Linked DNA regions of Caenorhabditis elegans. The protein of the gene in region 2 interacts with the protein of the main gene of each other region in a biochemical or structural test. Each region holds a gene or a part of one and is shown on either strand. Other genes may lie near its edges.

Region 1 (2,598 bases), on a different chromosome or scaffold from region 2:
TTTTGAGCTGTTAAAGCATGCAAAATGCCGAAATTTTATCGAAAAGTAGAAAAATTAGCCCCGCGGAGCTGGAAAATCCAGAAAACCTCAATTTTTCCGAATTTTCACGTAAAAATCGATATCTTCCAGGCAATCACCATCGAACCCGGCTGCTATTTCATTGATTTCCTGCTCAACGAGGCGCTCGCCGACCCGAAAAAGAGCGAATTCCTCGTCAAATCCGAAATCGACAAGTACCGCGGATCAGGCGGCGTCCGTATCGAGGATGACGTCATCATTCGTGCTTCTGGTAACGAGAATCTGAGCGATCTTCCACGAACCGTCGAGGAGATCGAGAACTTCATGGCTAGTGGAGGCGAATGGACGGAGAAGGTCATCGAATCTCGTGTCTCTGATTTCTTGTCCAAGTGATTTTTTGTCTACTGATTCTAATTTATCATCATTCCTACTACTATTACTGTGTTATTTTTTCATGTAAAATAAAATTTAATTTTTAAAAATTTGGGATTTTCCGAAAACGAAGAGTTTATTTGTAAGATAAATAAGTTATTTTAAACTTTTTTGGTTGTATAATATGATTCGAAATGTGGAAAATAGATTAAATGAGACAGAGAAACCGAGTATCTCAGTGGAAAAGGGATGGATGGGTGTTTGTTTTCGGATTAGAGTGTAGGTAGAGGACTAGAATCCGCCCAGCTGCTCTTGGTAGACCTCGATGACGTCATCGTCCTCCATCTCGAGCGTCTTCGGTGTGTCATCGTCGTTGATGCGACGTCCGTCGAAGAGGAAACTGCAAATATTTAAAGTTGATAGGAATTGGCGCGGATTTCCAAAACTCACCGAAGACTGTTGACGGCGACACCGGTTCTGTCAGCGTACGACTTCTTCAGCTTGGCCATAGAGGTTCCATACTTTACACGGAAGTGCACTTCGTTGCTGTCCTGCAATTTTTTTGGGAATTATTAACAAATTCGCGGCGAATTTCCAGTCAAATTACCTGTCCAACGACCTTGATCTTGATGTATTCGGCGTTGTCGCCTGCTTGAGCTGCATCATCGGCCATCGTTTATAGCGGGAGTCTCTGAAACGAAATTAGATTTGAAAAGAGAAAAAGAGATAGAAGGAGAGAGGTAGAGTTGCTATGGAGAATGCAACTCACACGAGTGAAAGGTATTAAGAGTGCAGAATGATGACTTTCTAGGGTATTTATATAGACGCTGTAACAAATAAAATCGATAATTACAGAACAGCTGGCTGAGCCACAAGATGCTTGAAAAATTAGGAATATCGATTGTCTGGGGAGCGCTGCGCTGAGAATTTCAAGAATATCACTGCGAAATTCAGAAAAAAAACCCATTTTTCTCAAGGAAATCCTTTTTTTTAGGATATCCAGTTCCTATCAAGTTTTCTACGTGGTTTTTCAGCGAAATTGACGAAATTTAGAAGCAAAACTTAATTAAACGCATCGCGACCGGAGAAAGAAGGCAAAAATAAATGAAAACACACGAAATGAGCCGAAAAATCGGGCAATACGCGCCTAAAAACCTTTTCGAAATGATTTCCCGCGTTGCAGAGTGTGCATGTTCACGCCGCGGTGTTTGCACACAATGCACCGCATTTCACGAGCAACACGAGGGTACGGTAGATTTTGGACAGGTTTTTGACCAAATTTGGTGCTTTTTGGACTGAAAAAATAAGAGATTTCGGCCTAAAATAGATAAATTGGTGAATTATTTGAGTTTTCAACGAAAAAAATGTTTTGAACAAGTTTTCGGAACAAAATTCAAGGTTTTCGCTTGGTTTTTGAGGAAAAACTCTAAAAATACCGTTTTCCAATATGTAACAAGGCAAACTGGATTTTAAAATATAATTTTAAGCTAAAAACTACAAAAACAATTGTTAATGAGCATTTTAGGCCAAAAAGCGATCGATTTAATTCGCGCGGTATCGTCAGGTCTCATCGTGAAATTGCAAGCGCGCTCTAATGTGAATATCGATTTTTCTTTATTAAAAATATATTCAAATTTAATGCTTTATACATATTTATGAAATCAATTAAGAACAGCAATTTCCAGTGTTTTCGACCTCCTTAACCGTCATCAACGGGCCAACGAAGAAATATCCGATGGCGTGGCCTAAAATTTACGAATTTTAAGCTTTTCTTCTAAAAATTCAAAAAAAAAAAAAAATAAATAAAACCTGCTAAAAGCGAGAAAAATAGCGGATAATTATATGTCATTGCTACCAGCATCAACGAATAATCCACAAAATTTTGAAGAAAAAATAGAAAAGAAGACGCAAAATGTCTCCAACTTGAGATGGATTCCATTGTAAATCTGCAATTTATCACCTTTTTTCGGAATTTCGTATCCTGGAATATTTTAAGCCAACTCACGGAGCCAACGATGCCAGTTTGCCACGTGGCGACGGCTCAGGCTCTTCCGGAATCTCCCAAATGCCTTCAGGCGTTGAGCAACAGCAATCGACGGCCTACAATTTTTTTTTTGGAATTCAGGAATTCCCGAAAAATAAAACACGGGTTTCTGGCTTCCCTCATAATTTGAAATGGAAGAGTTTTTGCCGAATTAGGCCATTTTG
Region 2 (7,234 bases):
TGAAATAACCGTCTGAAAATAAAAATTGAAAAATTATAAAGTCCCTATTTTTATCGAAAGTTTATGAAAAAAAGAATATGAAACATTATTTTTCCTACGTTACTGGTGTCCCCCGGAAACTTGTGATTTTAAAAGCCTTGGCATCTATACAGGGGTGGGCCGCGAAAGATTTTTTCCGGCAAATCAGCAGATCGGCAAATTACCGGAATTGAAAATTTCCGGCAAATCGGCAAACCGGCTAATTGCCGATTTGCCGACTTTGCTGTAAATTTTCGGCAAATTGTGGGTTTGCACATTTTTTTTTGGAAATTTAAAAATTTCAAATTTGATCGGAAAAATTGCACTCATCCTAGGAATGCTCATACATCTATTTTTAGAAGTAGACAATTCTATGAAAATATCTAAAGAAAACGGGAAAACATTTCACAAAGGCACAGTTTTAAGGGTTTCCGTCTTACATAAAATTCCTCTAAACATTTCCGACAAATTGATAACCGGAAAACGGCAAATGGGCAAATTGCCGAAATTGAAGACTTCTGGCAAATCGGCAATTTACCGAAATGAAAACATCCGGCAAACCGGCAAACCGGCAGATTGCCGGATTTGAATATTTCCGGCAAATCTGCAAACCGGCACTTTGCTGAAAATAAAAATTTCCGGCAAATCGGCGAATTGCCGGATTTGAACATTACCGGCAAATCTGCAAACCGGCACTTTGCTGAAAATAAAAATTTCCGGCAAATCGGCACATTGCCGGATTTGAACATTACCGGCAAATCTGCAAACCGGCAATTTGCCGAATTTGTCGACGAAATATTTGCCGAACGGCAATTGCCGCCTTTCCCTGGTTTATACCTCCAAAAATTGAATAATCTGCTATAAGTTATGGTGATGATTGTTATAAACACATATAATTATATAATACACAAAATAATTGGAATGTATTTTTTTAATCCTTATACATATACATATATCCATAAGCCATCCTCTTTTTATATCTAATCAGGGCTTAACTTCTCTTGCACTATTCCCCTTCAATCTTCCTCTCTCCACATAATTCTTCGTCGTCATACAATTCCCCATCATCTCCTCACTCTTTTGCCCAATTGCCCCGCCCGTAAACCAATCATCGTTCGAGTCGACGAGACACTGTGGTGAAAGAAGAGGGTCGGGGAGGTGTGACTGTGAGTTTGAGTGGGGGTGAGCGTGCGCGCATCACACACTCTCCACTGCGACTCGCATTGATTGATTTGGTCACTCGCACTTTTTTGTTTGCTGTTTTCGTTTTTTATTTTTTTAAAATTATTTTAGTGTTTTGATCGAAAATATAATGTGAAAATTAAAGTATTTAAAATTTTATTTTAAAACCATTTTGGTTAAAATTTAGTTTTCTTTTCAAATTTAGGCTACCGGTATCTAAAAGTTTTCTGCGAATTTCTGTGAGATACGAGTTTTTATTGTGAAGATCGGGCATAACTTTTTGGAGTGTCTGAAAGTTGAATTGACAGTTTTTTTTTTAGAAAAGAAACATTTCCAGAATTTTATTGATTTTTTTGTGTAAAAAATCTACCTCTACTTATTTAAAAATTTATTTTCCTTGTGTAATCATTTTTGAAACAAAATCCCAAGTACCATACACCCCCCCCCCCCCCCCCCACTATACGAGCAATCGCGCTCCATCACGAATCTTGACGCTCCCCTCTCAGCGGGAGATTGTTTTATTGAATTTCACTGCAACATACATTTAAATTAATTTTTTCAAAAGAAATGAGTTCAAACTTGACCAGTAATGAGATGTCATCAACATCTGCAATTGTAGAGCCCCCGGAGGCTGTGAAGGGAAATGAAAGGGATAAGGTATAGTTTACAAATTTTTAAAAATAAAAATAATCGTTTCTCCACTACTTTTACACAAAACAAATGATTTATACCCAGCTCAATATTTTTTTAAACTATTTTTTATATTTTATCAAATGTTGCCCAGTTATTTTCCAATGAGATATAGGGGTTAAAAAAAAAGAAACAAATTTAGTAATTATCAACTTCAAAACCCTCTAACTTGCCGGAAAATAGAGATATGGAAAAATTGTTAACTAACACTTTGGAGTACCAAAATTTATCTACATTTTATTAGTTGACAATTTTTTGATAGCTAACCGTCCCAATAAGTTACAATAGTTTTAAAACTTTCAGTCCACTCGACGATCGACATCTCAAGTGGTTCGACCGGAAAAGCACGAAGTTGAAAATGCATTGGAAGGTGAGTATTTTTCAAATATATTATAGAAAAATTAATAATTGCAATTTTGGTGCTCAAGTTATAATATAAACTCCGTTTTGGCAAATTGCCAATTTTCAAAAAACCCCAATTTCCGAATTTCTCGGAAATTTACCAAAATTTTGTAGTTTTTTAAAGCTCTACTAGACCTTCAATTTTTGAAACTTGCTTACAATTAGTGAAAATAATAATTTTTCAGATCAATGCTCATCAAGCAGCTTACCAAAAGAAGCTCAATATTATGCAAAACTCGACAAAAAGCTAGAGGGCAAAGACCCCCGATCTCAGTTCTACGAAGCGGTACGCCTGTCCGCCGACATTTTTGCTCATAAATTCGAAAAAGCCGTGTGCTCCCGCCAAACGTTCGAGCCGACCAACTCCATCATCAAAGTGCTCAACACTGCCGAGGAGGAGATGCTCCACGAGAAGGTTGTCCCACTACCAGTCAGCTCAAAGCTCCAATACTATCTCAACCGGGGACGTTATGATACGATATTCGATCGTGATGAGCAATTGCAAAGGACTGCTGACCCGATGGCCGACGAGCCGGATCATGTGGAGAAGCGGGTGACGAGCATTTTGGAGCAAGCTTCTCGAGAGATGGAAGAAGGGGAAGTCGAGCCGGTGTTCTATGATGGATCTGATGAGGATCAGGAACTTCCGATTGATCTAGGAGCTATGAGAAATCTGCAAAGGTAGGCACTAGAGCTTCAGAACAAAAAATTAATTAGCAAATATATTATTCCCAAAAGCAAAAAGCCCAAAAAGCGCATACATTTAACCAATTTGTGGGTGGTTTTTTATACGCATAAAGCTACGTTCAGGCCGTTTTTCAGGCCGTTTTCAGGCGTTTAGAATTCTTGAACTAAGAAAAAAAATAGATATTAAAGAATGTCGTGGGATGATTGTTAATGATAACAAAACTCAATATTGCAATATGAAACGGACAATAAGCAATATCTGAGTCATGGCGGAAGGGAAAAAAGTGCGATATTTCGCACAACTATCATATGGCCTGGCTTCCAGATTTTGATCATATCAGTCTTTTCCGTGGTCTCATTACGGTTTGATCTACAAAAAATGTAGGAATTTTTTGCTCAAAAATATGTGACGTCAGCACGTTCTTAACGATACAAAATCGGTTGAGAACTCTGCGTCTCTTCTCCCGCATTTTTTGTAGATCTACGTAGATCAAAGTCTTTGAAATTTTTGAGCTTAAATTTCCCTACACTTTATCAAGATAACAAACGCGCCCTATTGCCAACTTCTCGCACACCGACGCCGCCAAGTTTGAAGGTGATAGGGGGGGAGAGTGAGAGGGTGCCAGAGATTCATGTAAACATGGAACGATGTATGTTTTCCCAGCAGTGTGTGACCTTGTGTGTATGTTTTTTGTCGCGCGTTATATCAATTTTTGTTAGCAATGTTTCAATTTTCTGTGATAACAATCAATCAACTGTTTTCAGAACCAACAAGTTCGCGGCTCGCTCGAGCAGAATGGCAGCTCGGAGGGGAGGACGGCCCGGCTATCGTGGTGCTTTCAGAGGTGCAGCTCGCGGAGCACCTTCTAGAAGACCTGCACCAGCTGCAGAGGTGGCTCCAGAGACTCCAGTAGCGGCTCCGATGGCTCCAGCGGCTCCAGCAGCTCCTGCAACACCTGAAGCAGCTCCGGCAGCAGAAGTTATGGACACATCAATTGCCACAGAGATGCCTCAAGAGTCGGCTGTGGATCTGTCAAATGTGTCGGCGGCTACCGAGATGGATACATCTAAAGAAGGAGAAGCGTCCAGACCGACTAGCGAGAAAAAAAAGGTAAGCTTTTTGAAGGCTCGTATCTCGGACGGTTTTTGTTTTTTCGAAAAATTCTTAACTAACAAAATAATTACCGCATTTTTTTACAATTTCGTAGTTGAGTATTTGTTGATAACTTAAATTGGAGCAATTTATAAGCTTTACTTTGGCAACTCGTAACTGAATCTCTAATGCATATTTTCTATTTATTTTTTATTTTAAATTATAGAAAAATTAATTCTAAACATTTTTGCAGTTTTCAAAATTTTTATAAGACAAAAACCAATTGAGATATAAACTTTCAAAGCTGAAATTTGCTCTAAAAATTGAAAAAAGGTTCTAAAAAAAAGGTTCGTGAACAAATTAAAATTTTTTCTCAAAGTTTCAGAAAATCCGCACAACCGAAATGGACCGTCTTATGAGCATGGACTTGGGACCCAAGGATGGTGGCCGAGTCGGCGAACTCGGCCACATGTGGCCCGAATCACGCCGTCGTCCTGCTGCACCCCTACCAGAGACACCTGCTGCTCAACCGAGAAAGTCTCTGCCAAGGCGAGCCGCCGAGAAGAAGAAGCCTGAAGATTCGGACGCCGCTGAGGAGCAGGAGGTTGAGATGGAGGTGGATAACGACGCGAGCACATCTACTCCAAGAAATGCACGTGGAGGTAGAGGTGGTGGCAATAGACGAGGATCGAGAAGAGGTCAGAAGAGGACATCTGGAGGATCGGGGAAGCTCGTGGAGCCAAAGAAAGAGCCGGTCGACGAGCCAGCCGAGAAAATCCCAAAAAGATCCGAGGCAGCTCCAGAAGTTCCAGCTACTGCCACAACCAAAGAAGCCCCACCATCCACCTCCAGCTCCCCACCGGATGCTCCAGCTACCCCAGCCACTCCAGCTTCATCCGACTCTCGGGATTCCCCACGAAAGATCCGGGCGATGATTTTCTCGCTTACCGGATCCCCACCAGAGTCTGAAACTCCGCCAGTTCTGCAGCAAGAGCAGGTGATCTCCACAGCAGCACCGACAGCCGGTCGCCATCCAAACATCATTCAGCAGGTCCCGCACATCAATCGGATCCCGCCACAACCGCTGAGACGTCTCACAGCTCCTCAGGCTCCACCAGCATCCCAGCCAGAAGAGCCTCCAGTTCAGCAGACTGTTCCGGTGGTTAAAGTCGAATTGGCTTCAGCTCCAGCTCCAATCGTCAGGGATCCACAGTCAACGGAGCCAGTTCCACCTGCGATGCCTACACTTGTCGAGGTAACCATTTTCAGAATATGACGACTAATTTTTAATTACAATTTTCTTCAGAACAACCACGAAGCTACGCTCATTTTGCCGCCCAACAAGACATCAGACTACACAAGGTGGAACGTAAGTTTTTTAAGGCTCAGGCTTAGGCTTAGGCTTAGGTGTAGGCTTAGGCTTAGGCGTAGGCTTAGGCTCTGGTTTGGGCTTAGGTTTCAGCTTAAGCATAGGCTCAGGCTCAAGTTCAGGTTCAGATCTAGGCTTAGGCTTAGGCTTAGTATTAGGCATAGGTTAGCCTTAGGCTCTCTCTCTCTCTCAGGTTTAGGCTCTGGTTTAAGCATAGGTTCAGGCTTAGTCTCAGGCTTAGCCTGAGGCTTAAGCGTAGGCTTAGACTTTTGGCTTAGGCTTAAGCTCAGGTTTAGGTTTTGGCTTAGACTTTGGCTCAGGCTTAAGCTCAGGTTTAGACTTAGGCTCAGGCTTAGACCTAGGCTTAGGCTCAGCATTAGGCTTAGGCTTAGGTTTAGGCTTAAGCTTAGGCTTAGGCTTAGGCTTAGGCTCAGGTTTAAGCATAGGTTCAGGCTTAGGCTCAGGCTTAGGCTCTGGATTTCGACTTAACACATTCTAAAACAATTATGCTTCAGGCGCAAGATCTCATCAACTGGGTTCGGCTTCTCATCACCAACAACGTGGATTCCACTATTGCAATTATGGTTCGCGAGGAGTTTGACGGAGAAACGCTGGCCTGTCTTGTGTTGGACGATGATTTTCGAAAAGAGGTACCAATTCCATATGGTCATTATAAGAAGATGAAGATCTATGGGACTGAGGTGCTCAACCATTATCGTACGGAAAAGTATCAAGCTGATTTGAGAAAGTTCCATGAGGAGTTGGCTGCCTGGAAGGCTCAGCAGCGTTAACTCTGTTAATTTTTTTATGTTAATTTTAATGTTAAAATTAATATTTTTGTTGTTTTTTCTGACATTTCAAGCTCTTGCATATTGACTCCTACCGCTTTACCCATTCCTCGTTACCTAATTTGGACCTACTTAGATGATAGAAAACTTTCAGCAGTTTTCTAATTTTTAATAATTTTAATTTTTTGTAAGTTGATTGCAATTTCTTTAACTATTAAATTCCCCTTTGATACTCACAGAGACATGTTTTATATTCTATAATCAATCGATTTTTGTCATAATACCCGTTTTACCCTTATTTTTTCTGTTCACGTTTGCCCTCATGATTAAATGTTTTTCGAGTTTTTTAAATGTTAATGACATTTTGTATATGAAAAGTTAAAAAATATTCATTTCTGGTTTCCACAAAGCGAACGATACACAAAAATGTTAAAGAACGCTGTGAATGCAATGAAAAATGTGAGATTTTTAATTAAAAAATCTCTTACCGGCTGAGCACACGTGGCTCAGTGGGTAACAGGCTTGACTGGCAAGCAGGAGGCCACTGGTTCAAGTCCACCGACCTCCACCGACGTCAGGAATCGAACCTGTGATCTTTTCCCTTAAAGCTGAGCCTCTTACCGGCTGAGCCACTGGCCGCACAGCACCGCAAAAAATTGTCGGCATGGCTCAGTGGGTAACGAGCTTGACTTGCAAACAGAAGGCCACTGGTTCGAGTCCTTGAACTGAAGTAAACATTTTCAGATCGGAAAATCTCGATCGAGAAGTGCAAGTCGCGAGAAGGTGCTCAAAGACTCGGCCGTACAAGCTTCACCATCATCCCGTGAAGCCGTCCAAGTCGTCAAGGCAATCGCCCAACCAGTCGTCGAACAAAAATAAATATTCTCACGTTTTTTATTACTCTAAAAGAAAATGGGTTCACAGGGCTATCAGTAGAGCGCATATCAGATTTTTGGTCGAAATTTGAGAGAGATTTGTACTCGGGATAACGGGCACAACGGGTAG

The links. The genes of interacting proteins can lie anywhere in the genome.
Region 1: the proteins of sop-2 (region 2) and smo-1 form a complex in vitro, tested with the Caenorhabditis elegans proteins (one study listed by BioGRID).

What each region holds. Positions count from the first base shown.
Region 1 is NC_003279.8:1,339,168-1,341,765, reverse strand, and holds smo-1 (Small ubiquitin-related modifier), read right to left. Parts: upstream 1,089-2,598; 5' UTR 1,064-1,088; coding exon 998-1,063; intron 942-997; coding exon 841-941; intron 791-840; coding exon 682-790; 3' UTR 501-681; downstream 1-500. Other genes in the region: K12C11.1 (Xaa-Pro dipeptidase), read left to right, coding at 130-411; K12C11.7 (Copper transport protein), read right to left, coding at 2,056-2,135, 2,200-2,336, 2,396-2,490. UniProt on the Caenorhabditis elegans protein: Ubiquitin-like protein which can be covalently attached to target lysines as a monomer. Does not seem to be involved in protein degradation and may function as an antagonist of ubiquitin in the degradation process.
Region 2 is NC_003280.10:12,338,179-12,345,412, forward strand, and holds sop-2 (Polycomb protein sop-2), read left to right. Parts: upstream 1-1,765; 5' UTR 1,766-1,767; coding exon 1,768-1,857; intron 1,858-2,193; coding exon 2,194-2,260; intron 2,261-2,477; coding exon 2,478-2,973; intron 2,974-3,744; coding exon 3,745-4,090; intron 4,091-4,451; coding exon 4,452-5,327; intron 5,328-5,378; coding exon 5,379-5,441; intron 5,442-5,456; exon of another isoform or gene 5,457-5,510; intron 5,511-5,956; coding exon 5,957-6,232; 3' UTR 6,233-6,617; downstream 6,618-7,234. Other genes in the region: C44C11.6 (Transcriptional regulator), read left to right, coding at 6,656-6,688, 6,974-7,108. UniProt on the Caenorhabditis elegans protein: Polycomb group (PcG) protein. PcG proteins act by forming multiprotein complexes, which are required to maintain the transcriptionally repressive state of homeotic genes throughout development.